3 linked regions of the Elephas maximus indicus genome follow. The protein of the gene in region 1 interacts with the protein of each later gene in a pairwise test. Links are inferred from orthologs where the notes say so. Each region holds a gene or a part of one and is shown on either strand. Other genes may lie near its edges. The genes, in order: CCND3, CRABP2 and VDR.

Region 1 (4,340 bases):
TCATGAGCTAGGCCTTGAGGGAAGAGGCTGGATTTAGAGAAAGGAGCAGGATGCCAGTGGTGGGTGATAAGACCCTGAGGTAGGCTGGACTGCTGGAACTGAGATAAAATTGAATAGGCTGTCTGGGGCCTCTTGATGGAGAACTTTGAAAGCCAAGCTGGTTGACTTTTAAATTTGACCCGATAAGCAGGTCCTTGGACTGGAGATGAAAGGAGTGTCTGAGAGAGATTAATCTGATGGCTCTGGGCCATTGATCTAGATTGATCTGGAAAAAGGGTGAAGACTGGGCGGCTCTCTGGGAGGCTTTTGCAATAGTAATGTAGGCTGGCCTTTCAAACTAGGGTTTGAAAACCCCTAAAATTCCTTCTGCCAGTGTATACAATAAACATGGTTTGTGGAATTCAGTTTCCCTTTAGCTGTAAGTTATTTAAACCATTATTTTTACATTAAAATAATGGTGGCTATATTATGGATAAGAGCCTGAAACCTGTATAAGTTTCTAAGGCAGAATATTAGACTTCAAATAAATTTCAGGTTTGCAGAGGGTAATTTTAGATTATGCTACCGAATTTCTCAGAGAGATTCATTCCCCCTTCCCTGTTGTAAAGGGTTTACTTTGATGGCAAATTTTGAGACATTTGCTAAGAGCCATATGGAGGAATAGGAAAGATGGGATCTAAGTAAGTTTCAGGGAGTCATTTTTTGGGGCCAGGAAACTGATTAGATACAGGGAACCAGAGAAGGGAGAAATCCAAGATGGCACCAGGGTTTAAAATCTGAGAACTCTAAAGAAAGATGGAACGATTCATAAAAATGTACAAGCCTAGAAAGGGGTGGGATGGGAAGATGATAGCCTTGCTAGTCCCAGGAAAGGACTGGCCAGGTTGGTCAGGGAGGAACCAGCACCTCTTGGTCTTTCCCAGCCTTTGCCAATGTCCTGAAAGTTCTGTTCACTGGCCTGTCATGTTCGGATCTTTGCCTGGTTTACTTTCCATGTATCATCACTAAGATATTTGCCTTAGGATTTTAGTAGATGTCTTATATTAAAGAAGTTCCCTTCTCTCCGTACTTAGTGAAGAGTTTTTCTTATCCACAGATGTTGAGTTTTATCAAATGCTTTTCCTGTATCTGTTGTTGCGATCATGTCACTTTTTCCCCTTTAACCTGAATTATAAGTGGCTCTGGTGGCACAGTGGTTAAGTGCTCAGCTGATAACCAAAAGGTTGGCAGTTCAAATCCATTGACTGCTCTGTGGGAGAAAGATGTGGCAGCCTGCTTCCCTAAGGATTAACTGTCTTGGAAACCCTATGGGGCAGTTCTACTCTGTCCCGTAGGGTTGCTATGAGTTGGAATTGACTCTACAGCAATGGGTATGGGTAGTCTAAATTATATATATATATATATATATATTTTTTTTTTTTTAAATAATGCACTCCAAGACATGTGTTCTTCATTGTCTCCCAGAGTTCCGCAGCAGGATTGAGCTCCAGTTGCCCACATGGTAACTTACTTAATGACGCACTCTCTACTGGCTTTCCTTCCCTTCCTGTCTCATATCTTCACTCCCCTTCCAGTGCTTTCTGGAATTACCTCCCAAGTAAACTACTTCACTGGAGTCCTTGTATCAGGGTCTATGTTGGGGCAGCCCAAACTCAGACAGAGCCATTTACTAACTATGGCTTTTGATGAGATACCTAATCTGTTCATGTCTCTCTTTTCTCATCTGTAATATGAGGGTAAAATAGCACCTATACCTCATAGAGTTTTTGTGAGGCTTAAATAAGTAAATGTGGTAAAGTTCTCAATGTCTGGCTCAGAGAAAGCACTAAGCAAGTGTAACTTATTACTGTTACTACTTGAAATTCTCTGGTGTACTACCATGGGGAGTTGTACCATAGTTGGGGCACACCACTCCAGACCCCACTGTCTAAGCTTTTCGGGATGCTCCCTTTCTGCCTCTTGCTCCCTATGCCCCAGTTACTCTCTGAGTTCCTACAGTCCCACTTCTTCCATCATGGGCTGCCTCCTGGACTTCAGGTGACCAGGACCACCAACTCCCACCACTCCCAGTGTAGCCATCGTTTCCATCCCATAAAAACCAGCTCCCCTAACCCTGGTGGGTGCTGGGAAGTCCCAGGCAAAAAATTTGGTGTCTTTTTTTTTCATTACTTCATTCCTTTTTTTGCCCAGTACTACTCTACACTGGGTTTGGGTTTTTACTCTACTCTATGGATATACCACATTGTGTTTATCCATTTATCAGTTGATGGACACTGGGGTTGTTTCTACTTTGTGACTGTTATGCATAATGCTGTTAATGAATATTCATGTGCAAGTTTTTGGCTGGCTATATGTTTTTATTTCTCTTAGATAATTTCCTAAGAGTTTAATTGCTGGGTCTTATGTTAACTCTAAGTTCCATTGTTTGAGGAACTGCCAGACTGTTTTCCAAAGGGGATGTACCATTTTATATTCCCAGCATCAGTGACATTTGTTATTGTCTGTCTTTTTTATTATAGTTATCCTAGTGGGTGTGAAATGGTATCTCATTGTGGTTTTGATTTACACTTTTTTTTTTAATGACTAATAATGTTGAGCATCTTTTCATGTGAGTAAAACTTAATGTCTTAGTGACAATTACAGGATTTCTCCGTGTTCAGGCTCATCATAGTCATCCACTTTAGACTGGCAGCTCTTAACAGGGAGGCTTTGGGTCTCTGCTCCGAAGCCCAGGGCAAGGACAGCACCTGATACATATGAACTATTAATGGTCACCGCTCCCTTTTCTGAGCATTGTTATGGGCCTAGTGCTATTGTAGGTCCCTGGATGGCACAAACGGTTTGCATGTGACTACTAACGGAAAGGTTGATGGTTGGAACCCATCCATTGGTGCCACAGAAGAAAGGCCTGGCAGTCTGCTTCAGTAAAGATTATAGCCAGGAAAACCCTGTGTAGTTCAGTTCTACTCTGTAACACACGTGGTTGGCATGAGTTGGAATCGACTCGGCGGCAGTGGATTTGGTTTTTGGTTTAGTGCTATTGTGGGTGCTTTTGCCATATTAATCCTCGCAACCACTCTGTGAAGTAGGTGCTGTTACTATCCCTATTTTGCAGATGAGCAGCCTGGGACACAGAGAACTTGAGTCACTGGCTCAAGAACACACAGCTGGCAAATGGGAGAGCTGGGCATCAACCCAACTCCAGAGCTCACTTATTTAGCCACTGTGCTGAAACGATGCCAGGGCTTTTTCATCCCTAGAGTGAGAGATCCTTGCTTCCCAGCTAAGAGCCCAAAGAGGATTTCTCTTTTGCCAGGTGTTTTGCTCAAGAAGGTTACCCATCTACTACACCTGAGGCCCAGATACTTACCTCACCTTTAGCTGTGGACCAGGAGTCTCAGACAGAATAAGAGAACAGGAAAGCCTCACTTATTCAGAATCCAACCAGAAAAAGGGAGAAAAAGTAAACATGTAAATATATAGGTTGTGTGTTCTAATTTTATGAGGAGAGAGTTGGCAGGTTTAGAAGCCAGTACCTGAGGTTTCTTTTCATAAGCGACTTACGAGCTAGAGATTGCAAAATACTCCCCACAGGTCAGATCCAGCCCATGGAACATTGTGTGTGGCTTGTGCAGAGCTTGTTTGTTTTAACTGAAGTAATGGAGATGTTATATTTTAAGAAATATTTTCTCTGGGAAACAAGGGGAATAGAGGGCAACACTTAGGACAGCCACAGGCTGAGCGAGCAGCCCCTCCTGGCTTTGACTGGAGCATCTACTGTCCAGTGTGCCCAGCCCCCCACGTCTCCCACTGACCCCCGTACCGTACCAGAATGGCCATTTATCATGTGACTTGTGCTGAGTTTTTTTTCTTGTTCCAGTCATCCATTGATTCATTCAAAAAAGATTTGTTGAACACCTTCTATGAACCAGGCACCATTCTGGTGATATGGCAGAAGGAAAAAACCCTTACCCTCCAGGAGCTTCTGTTGTGGTGGTGGTGGTGGTGGTGGGAGGGACGAACGATAAACAGAATATGTAAGTAAAGTATATAGTGTGTTAATTATTCATGGTAAGCAGAAAAATAAAAGGACATAGCAAATGCGGGGTTGGGGGAGCAGGAGCATTAAAAATGTAGACAGGGTGGCCAGAAAAGACTATAGGAGGAATGCAACTTTTAAGTTAAAACCTGAAAGAAATGAGGGAGTGGGCCATGTGGATATCTGGGGGAAGAACATTCCAGGCAGATGGTACAGCAGATGACAAAGGGAACATGTATGCCCGGTATGTTCCAGAAACAGCAAGGAGGCCAGTATGGCCAGAGCAGAGTGAGTGAGAGAG
Region 2 (4,340 bases), on another chromosome or scaffold:
GCTTATTCCGCCCATTTTACGGCTCAGGACACCTGAGACCCTGCCCCGCCCCCTCTCTGGGCACTAGGTGGTAGCGCGGCGCGCCGGGCTCCTCGCCTTTGTCTCCACCTCCAGTCGCCGTCGCCTACCGCGACTCCCTCGGGGGTCTGGCAAGCGAAGCCACGCGGAAAGCGCCTTAATAAAGAGCTCGTGTCAAGTGATTGGCTGTGACCTCTGCCCTCCTCAGCCTTGCGCCCCGGGCTCCTGCTTAACCCTTCGATGTCCGGTCAGCGCGTTAAGAGGAATGAGTCACCCTGCTCGGATTTCCAGAGTCCGCAGGCGCAACCCCAGGCCGAACCCGTGTGCGGTTAGGGGAGGAAAGGGGTGAGAGAAAGCGTGCAGCCCCCTCGCAGCCCTTCGAGCCGTTCCAGCAGGGGGCGCCGTTGCCTCACCGGGTGCCTAACCCCGGAGCCCCAACGCTCCCCAGTCGGTCTCCGAATTAGGAGCTGACCCTTCGGACCCAGTTCAGGCTTCGGTGGAGCCGAAGTTCGACTGCTCATTCCCTTCCCCAGAGCCGGCATGAGGACCAGGGTTTTGCCCGCTCCCCGGCTGGTGGGGTCACTGGGTGCTCGGCGCCAACAAGTCGAGTGCACCGAGTCAGATTGGGGAAGGGTAGGGAACAGGCAAGACGTGTCCCTGTGGCCTGGGCTGCTGGACTTGGGACCCGGGAGCAAATGCCCCGATCCCGGCGCCTCCTCCACTCGGGCAATCGAAGTGCTCCCCCTGCCTCCACTTCCCTCCCTATTCACCCATTAGCGATGGAGCAAGCTATCTCGGCCCTTAGCGTGCCCTGGGTCCATCCAGGGGGCTAGATCCAGAAGGCAGGAGACTGAGGGTAATGCAGGGCCCGGGCTGAGGGCCCCCCGGGGGGGTGGGGTCGGGATGGGAGGCGGGGCCACCTCATTCCTGGGCAGGGGCGGGCCCCGTGCGGGGTATAAAAGCTGCCCGCGCGGGCGCCCGGGTCGGCTTTGGAGTTGTCCTGGGTCGTATCCAACTTGAGAGTCTCGCCATCCTGCGAAGGCGGCAACATCTATCTCTACTAGAGGACTGAGCATTCAGGGCTCCGGCCGAAGGACCTCGAGGGACCACCATTCGCCCCACCACCATGCCCAACTTCTCCGGCAACTGGAAGATCATTCGGTCGGAAAATTTCGAGGATTTACTCAAAGCGCTGGGTAAGGTTTCCGAACGCCGGGGAGGGGCAAGAGAGGCTCCAGAGTCCTCAGAGGTGGGATGAGAAAGAAAGAGGGATCAGATCAGGAGAGAGTGGGAGGCTGGGCGCCTGCATCCCCAAGAAAAGGGGCTGGACGCCTGGGTTCGGGGACACTGGGCCCCGATGCCTAAATCCTGCTTTTACCGGCGGGGAGTCCACCCGTGCCAGCTCCTGCGGTGACTCAGAGCTTGTGAATCAAGCAGAAACCAGAAGCACGAAGTCGGTTTCCCTGTAAGGTGAGGGGGCTAGCCTCTGGCGCCTTGGCCGGGCTGACCAGGAACACCTGGCTCTCAGAAGTTCAGAAGCTGCCACTGGGAGAGCCGCAAACCCTGCATCCAGGGTGAGAGCCTGGGTCTCTACCTACCTGAGCCCCTCAGAGACATTCTAGCCTGCTTCCCGGCATCCCGCTCCCCTCCTCCTACCCCAGTCCCAGCCAGGCACAGGTTCATTACCTCTCTGCACCCACCAAGTGATCCTGGCCCTAGCCCTAGATCCCCCTACATCCTTCCGCTCTTTCCACTTTGCCTACTCTCCCCACCTCCCACCCCCCACTCTGTGAGACAAATATTTTCTTGCAGGAGCAACCCCAGAGTCCCGAAGTCTCTCTGGATAATTATCACTTTCTTGGGTTTCAGCAAATGGCTTCGTGTAAAACCCCAACCCCCCCATTTCTGAAAATCCCAGTTTCCTCCTTTCTTTATCCCCAGAAACTAAGCTCCTGCCCAGCTGGGTACATTAGTCTGAAGGTAATAGAAGCTGAACCAGGGCTTCGAACCAGTTCCTTCTGGTTCAACTCCCTGCTGAGAATTTGAATTTCTACCCAGAGATTCTGATTCAGCATATCTGTGTGGGAAATTGAGCTGAACCATCCTAGACTGCCCTTCCAGCCTTCCAGACTTCTGGGGGTGGCAGGCTGGCTGAAGGATCTGGGGAGAGGGAGAAAGAACCAGGGTTCCATGACTGGAGAGATTGGTCTGGGAGGAGATGACGGTTGAACTATATTCAAGACACCCAGCAACTGGGAGGAGGGCCTGGGAGCCCTGGAACCTAAGGGTCACCCAGGGACCTTCCCATGGCTTTAATTTCTGGACTGGACAGAGAGACCCTGGTTGGGCCGGAGGGGCACCCTACGTGGGGCAGGGAGCTGGAGAAGCTTGTCTGGATGGAGGAAGGGTCTGGAAACGCTGTGGGTAGAGCTGTGATTTCCATTGTTCCTTGACACTGAGTTCTCCCTGCCATCAAACCATAATACATATTGCAGTCACGTCAGCCCTTGCTCTGCCTATTCTGAAATTAAAGACAAAAGGATAGAAATTTTCCCTTCAGAAAACCTAGATGCCACTCCCTCGTCCCCCATCTTCTCTGGATTCTGGCCCCTGTCCGCAGTGAATGAGGGTGTGGCCTGGCACACCCCCAGACCCCAGCTGGAGAGTAAGATTCAAAGCCTAACCCTGTTGTCTGTCTTCAGTCTGTTCGCCTCCCTGCAGGGTCCCTCGGAGCCACGTGCCCTCCTCAGGCCCTGCTCAGGGAGCAGATTGAAAACAGCCCTGTTAGACAAACACAGTCCTGAGTCAGCCAAGGCCAGCCGAGCCAGCCCCCCCGCCCCCCCCCCCCCCGCCATTCTACAGGCACCAGGGGCTGGCTGGAGGGATGTCCCCTCTGACTGCAGCCTCGCCTTCACAGGAATCTCAGTCTCCTCATTCCCATTTGTCCCATTGGAGGACCCCTCTCCTGACGAGGGATGCTCAGATATTTGGGGGATACCTGTCTCATCCAGTGTGGTGCTCATGGCACACACTGCTACTATAATAGGGAAGATGGATGTTAGATAGGAGGATGGACTTCACAGGCAGCAGAGAGTGAAGCAGTTCCTTTGCCCAAGAAGATGGAGTGGGGTATGTCTCCTTTACCAAGTCAGTGGGGCCTGGGCACCTGAGCAAGTTCTCCCTGGCCCCAAGAGATCAGTAGCCAAGAAGTGGAGTTCCTAGGTCTCCTGAGAGTCAGGGCTCCCCGTCCCTCTCCCTTGTGTCTGAAATATTTTTCACCCTGGGAGGACCAGGTGGGGGCCTAGCCAGGGCCAGGGGATCTGAGCCAGATCAGGAGCAGAGGAACCCCACTTGCCTGGCCCAGCCCAGCTTGGCCGTTTTCTCCCTACCTGTTGCTTCCCTGGAGGGTTCTGCTCCAGTTCAGGGCAGGAGGCCAGGCAAGGCGGGGGTGTGGAGCTTGGGCCTGGGCCTGGGCCAGAAGTGCTTCCCTACCTTCTGGTCTTCCAGCCACAGGGGCTGTCTCCTGTCTCCCACACCCATCCTAATAACTAGGGAACAGAGAAAAGGGGTCCAATCTGGGGGAGGGCATAGGGGGCACAGGGGCTCGGAGCCCACAGAGGGGGCCCACCTGAGGTGTAAGGTGGGAGGCAGTGTCCCTTTCTGTCCTTTCTTTGGGGCAGGAGGGGGTTCCCTTAAGAAGAGAAAGGCATGGGAGCCCTCCAGGAGCGCAGGTGAGCAGGAGTCTGATGCAGGGAGCTTTGAGCCCTAGCTTTGGCTTTCTCTTTGCCTTCCGTTTTGTCAGTAAAAATGATAGCAACAATAACAAGAAAGAGCCACTGTTCCTCAAGATCCTAAAGGTGTACCTGGCACATATGTGCTAGGTCCTAAACACACACCATCTCATTTGATAGGCATTTGAAAAAGGCTATTGTTTCATTTTTCAGTTGAAGAAACTAAGGCTCAGAGAGGTTAAACCATTTGCCCAGGGAGACCCAGCTGGTAAGGGGGCTGAGCCAGGAGGAAATCACAGTCTAATGGCTCTGACTCCAGAGAGTCTGGCTTCCCAGGCTGCTGGCCAGTCTATAGAGGCAAACAACTGCTCCATATCTTCACGTGCTGAGAATTTCTGCTCAACTACTAATCTAAAGATTGGCGGTTTGAATCCACCCAGTGATGCTGTAGAAGAAAGAAAGCTCTGGCAATCTGCTTCCATAAAGATTACAGCCAAGAAAACTAAGGAGCAGTTCTGCTCTGTGACACATGCGGTCACCATGAGTTGGGATTGACTCTGTGGCAATGGGTTTGGTTTTAGTTTTTTCTCA
Region 3 (4,340 bases), on another chromosome or scaffold:
TTCCACTGAAGCACTAGGGCTCCTTTGTTATAGCACATTGTGTGGTAATTACTATTTATTTACACATTCCTCCCGTTTCCCCTTCCTTCCACTAGACAGTGAGCTCTAAGACTGAAGGAACCACGTCCTTTCCACACTTCTCTCCTCTGCACCTAGAGCAATGCCTAGCATATAGTCAGAGAAGCAGAGCAGAGGGTAAATTGTAAGGTCAAAAATTACAAAAAAAAGAAAAACTTTTTAAAATCAAAATCTTGTATGCCAATTTTCTCTCCAAGCTCAAAAACCCATTGTCATCGAGTGTTTCCAACTCTTAGCGACCCTGTAGGACAGAGTAGAACTGCCCCATAGGGTTTTCAAGGAGAGCCTGGTAGCTTTGAACGGCACATCTTTTTGGTTAGCAGCCTGAGCTCTTAAGCACTGCGCCACTAGGCCTTCTAATTTTCCCGCAGCCACAGGTCTGAGGATGTACTCTTCACCTCCTCCCTCCGCTTCACACTAATGTCGCGGTGGGAAGGGGGCACCGGGGACCAGGGACCGAGGAAGCTGAGATTAAGCCCGCGTGGAGGAGATCCGCAAGGGGCCAGGAACGTGGTTCCCGTGGAACATGGGATGGGGTGACGATGCAACTCCGGGCTCCACTTTGGCCCGGTTCGCTCTTTGATTCCAGTGTGCGGAGTCGGATCCAGCTCCCTGGCGCCCGGCGAAAGTAGCTCGGCGGCGAGCGGCACCCTGGACTTCCCACGAGTGCAGAGAGAGCAGTAGGAGCCCGTCAGCAGGCGCCCCCCAGCGTCTCACGGAGGACAACGACTTCCCGGCCAGGTCAGCCCAGGTGTGTCTGCAGCGGGGGACGCACCTGGAGGAGGCGTCCGTGACAGGACGGGCAGAACCAAAGCAGGGGGTGAGGAGATGTGTGCGATGTATCCCAGATTGTCGAAGGCATGAGCGTGGACCTACGCATTCACAACTGCCAAAATCATCTCCCAGGCACAGAGGACGGAAGCATGCCTAGCCCTGGGACAGCAGGCATGGAGGGCTACAGGACAGCAGAATCTCCAAGGCGACAGTGCAGTGGTTGAGTCCAAGTCAAGATGGTTGCAGCGCAGATGCAGCTCTCGGCTAGAGAGGACTGGACCGGCGGGCGGGGCCAAGGACCAGGCCTGGCCCGGGGGCGGGGCCTGCGCGATGGGCGGGGCCAGGTGCTGGGCTGGCTCTGCTTGTCAAAAGGCAGCCACCGAACCCGAGGTGCGGCGATCGCTGAGCAGCGTGTCCACCCGCGGGACCAGGTGCGGACCCGGGAGCAGCGTGGAAGGGGGTCCCAGAATAGAGATTAGGCCCTGGGACGGGACGTCGGGAGTACCGGAGCCTGAGTGCCCGAGCGCAAGCCCTCGAGTCTAAGTCGTAAGTCTAAGTAGGGGCCACTTTGGAGACTGAGAGCCGGGCTGTGATGCCATGAGACTGAGACACTGAGGGGCGTTGAAGGCTAAGAAGGAGCTGACTGAAGTTCATGCCGAGCTGGCGAGGGCAGCGGGGACCTCCTCGGTGCCCCGGTGCTCTGGCAGATGAACGCAGAATGCCTCGCTAGCACAGTGCTCAGCACTTGGGCAACAAGAAACATTTGTTTCTTTCCTCTGCCCGGGTGCCTTGGCGTGGAGTGAAGGAACAAGAAAGGGAGAGACTGGCTGTCGATGGTGCGAAGGACTTCTGGGGGTGGAGTGTGTCGACTTATTTATTCTCTCGTTGGGCCCACTTACGGTCACCTGTGGCTGTGGGGTTGGGTCTTTTAAGTAGGGCTTTTTTTTTTTTTTTTCCATTTCGTTTCCTGACTTTTTATTTGTAAACCACTAATGATTTCAGACCTAATTAGCCCTAGGGCACTGGATTTATTGTTTCAGGAGAGCTTGCCCATAGGTGAGTGAGTGACACTCAAGGGCCAGCATTAATAGAGGAGGGAACTCAGGGAGTAGTTTCTGCTTAAAGGAGGTGAGGGGTCCCACATCTGTGGGTGGTAGGTGAGGAGCATCCAGGGGGAACTATCTTCTAGAGAGCAGCCTGTGGTCTCCAGGGGCAGTGACCATCGCCCCCCCGCCCCAGACCACTGAGGCTGAGACCCAGCTGCCTGGGCTAGGGGAGCCCTGGGTCTCTGAGCCCAAGCTCTTCCTGTACCTCCTCCTCCTTCTCCTCCTCTTCCTCCTCCTCTGTGTGGTGAGTGAGTCAGCCTCCTGTCTGGGCTCAGTTGCAGCCAGAGGGGCCAGAGCCCAGGCAAGCAGTTGGGCAGGCATTTTCTGAGCATTGCAGAAGCTCTCCTGGGCAGAGTTCAGCTCTGCTCCAGCTCCCTGCTGGAAAGCTATTATCCTCATGGCTGGTGTTGGCTGCTATTGAAGGGGTCAGGGGTTCAGACACCCAACACAGCAATGACGATGGGATGTTCTGATTCCAGAAAGAGTTGGTTGTGAAGGGATTGTGACTTTGAGGCAAATCCACAGTTTTTTTTTTCATTCTCCCAGGATCAGGAGGTGCATCCCAGCATTGCAGACTTGTCCAGACTGTCATTCCATTTCTGCCTAGTGACCTTGTTAGTTGCTCATCCCTGCTGGTGAGGTAGGTATACAGGGGGAATTGGGAAGGTTCTGGGACTAGGGAAAGCAAGGTGTTGACAAAGGTTTTAACTCAGGCTAGGGACTGGGAGTGGTTTGGTGAGGTGGAGTTGGGTTAACTGGACATTGGAGCCTCAACTCTACAAACTGAGAGTGTTGTGTTTTTGGGGATCTGCCCCAGCCCTTCCATGTCCAAGTGCTGGAGGAGATGGTGGATCTTTCTGGAATAGGGTTTGGACTGGCATACAGCCAAAGTAGGAGGTAGTAAGACTGTAAATTTCTCTCTGGCTTTTGTTTTGGGTGTTAGAGATCCTTGGGCAGAAATAGGGGCCCCAGGGTCCATTGCCCCCATTCAGTGGGCTCTCTGGACCCGTTGGAGAAGGATCATGGAGGCCAACCAGCCTGTGGGCTGACTCAAACTGCAAAAAAAAAAAAAAAAAAAAAACGCTGGGGAATTCACAGTCTGTGCTCTGGCTGGGGCCCATGGCTTAAGGTTTGGCTGGTCTCTGATCAGCCATGAGTTGGACTCTAACCAAGTTAAAAGAAGGATTGGAGAGTGGGGTAAGAAAAAAGGAAAGAGAGGGTGTTAGGAAGCTCTCCTGATCCCTCACTTCTTTTCAGCCAAGACTATTACAATTTATTGGTATAAATATTGTGGAAGGTCTGGGTGCTGTTTGGGATGCCCTGATTATTTGTGTTTATGGTTTCTCAGTCTTCTTCCCCTGTTCTGCCTTAGAATTGATCTTCTTTTGGACTAAGTCTCAGAGGACACTCTAAGAGGACCTTCTGGATTCCCCCACACTCCTGAACAAATAGCCAGAGTCCAAAACCAATGTCCTGAGCCAGTGTGCTCCATGCTTAGGGGATGGCCTAGGTCCAGTGGGCCAGAGCCAAGTGTTTACCTAAGACAAGAAAGAGAGTTCCAGTTGTTCACTTCTTTACCCCATATCCTAAGGAGGCAGCGACCAGCCTGGCTGAGATCTGCTTCTGCTGGAAACCCTCCTGTTGTCAACTGTTCAGCAGTTATGTGCTAGTGGTTGGAGAGGCAGAGACAGGAAGACCTGGAAGTCTGAGCTAGGATGACTTTCCAGTTTGTGTTTCCCTCTTCTTTACTGGACAGGGAGAAGTATAGGATTCCAACTTTCCATTTGTCACTGCGGCAAGTCTGTTTTGGGAACAGGTAGAGGAAAGAAAGGAAATGACAAGATTTTATTAAGTGCCTCCTGTGTACCCAGCATGGTGCTAGGCCATCTGAAGGATGGCAGGAAGCAGAACCCACCAGACCAAGACGGTCTGAGCCCCAGAATGGGTAGGAGCTGTCTGGCTTTCCCTCCACCACTGTCCAGTTCTGAGAGGATCCACCTGGACTGAAGCCAGCCTGAGTGTTGCTCTGAACCACAAGGGCCTCTCTTCTAGTTATGCTTCCCCCGATTTCCCATTAACCCTCTTCCATGCCAGTGCCCTCCTGGGTGCGGTAGAGAGAGTGACCATGTAGTTTATCATTCAAATGAGGATACTTTTGAGAGTGAAAGGGGTGCTATTTATATGTATGCCAGGACAAAAGACAAACTGAAACTGTCTGGAGCAAATGCGAATATTTAGTCATTCTAGTGATAGAGGGAAGAAGCCCTGGTTGTGCAACAGTTAGGCGCTCGGCAGTTTGAACCTACCCAGTGGCTCTGTGGGAAAAAGAGCTAGCAATCTGCTCCTGTAAAGATTCCAGCCTAGAAAACTCAATGGGGCAGT

What was found.
Region 2: the proteins of CCND3 (region 1) and CRABP2 interact in binary tests that used the Homo sapiens proteins (3 or more experiments, as listed by UniProt). The link is inferred for Elephas maximus indicus from reciprocal best matches to the Homo sapiens genes CCND3 and CRABP2.
Region 3: the proteins of CCND3 (region 1) and VDR interact in a two-hybrid assay, tested with the Homo sapiens proteins (2 studies listed by BioGRID and IntAct). The link is inferred for Elephas maximus indicus from reciprocal best matches to the Homo sapiens genes CCND3 and VDR.

The regions. Positions count from the first base shown.
Region 1 is NC_064819.1:106,379,318-106,383,657, reverse strand, and holds the start of CCND3 (G1/S-specific cyclin-D3), read left to right. Parts: upstream 1-1,413; 5' UTR 1,414-4,340. UniProt on the Homo sapiens protein: Regulatory component of the cyclin D3-CDK4 (DC) complex that phosphorylates and inhibits members of the retinoblastoma (RB) protein family including RB1 and regulates the cell-cycle during G(1)/S transition.
Region 2 is NC_064821.1:194,450,263-194,454,602, reverse strand, and holds the start of CRABP2 (cellular retinoic acid-binding protein 2), read left to right. Parts: upstream 1-1,017; 5' UTR 1,018-1,144; coding exon 1,145-1,214; intron 1,215-4,340. UniProt on the Homo sapiens protein: Transports retinoic acid to the nucleus. Regulates the access of retinoic acid to the nuclear retinoic acid receptors.
Region 3 is NC_064822.1:102,720,859-102,725,198, reverse strand, and holds the start of VDR (vitamin D3 receptor), read left to right. Parts: upstream 1-1,214; 5' UTR 1,215-1,398; intron 1,399-2,504; 5' UTR 2,505-2,598; intron 2,599-4,340.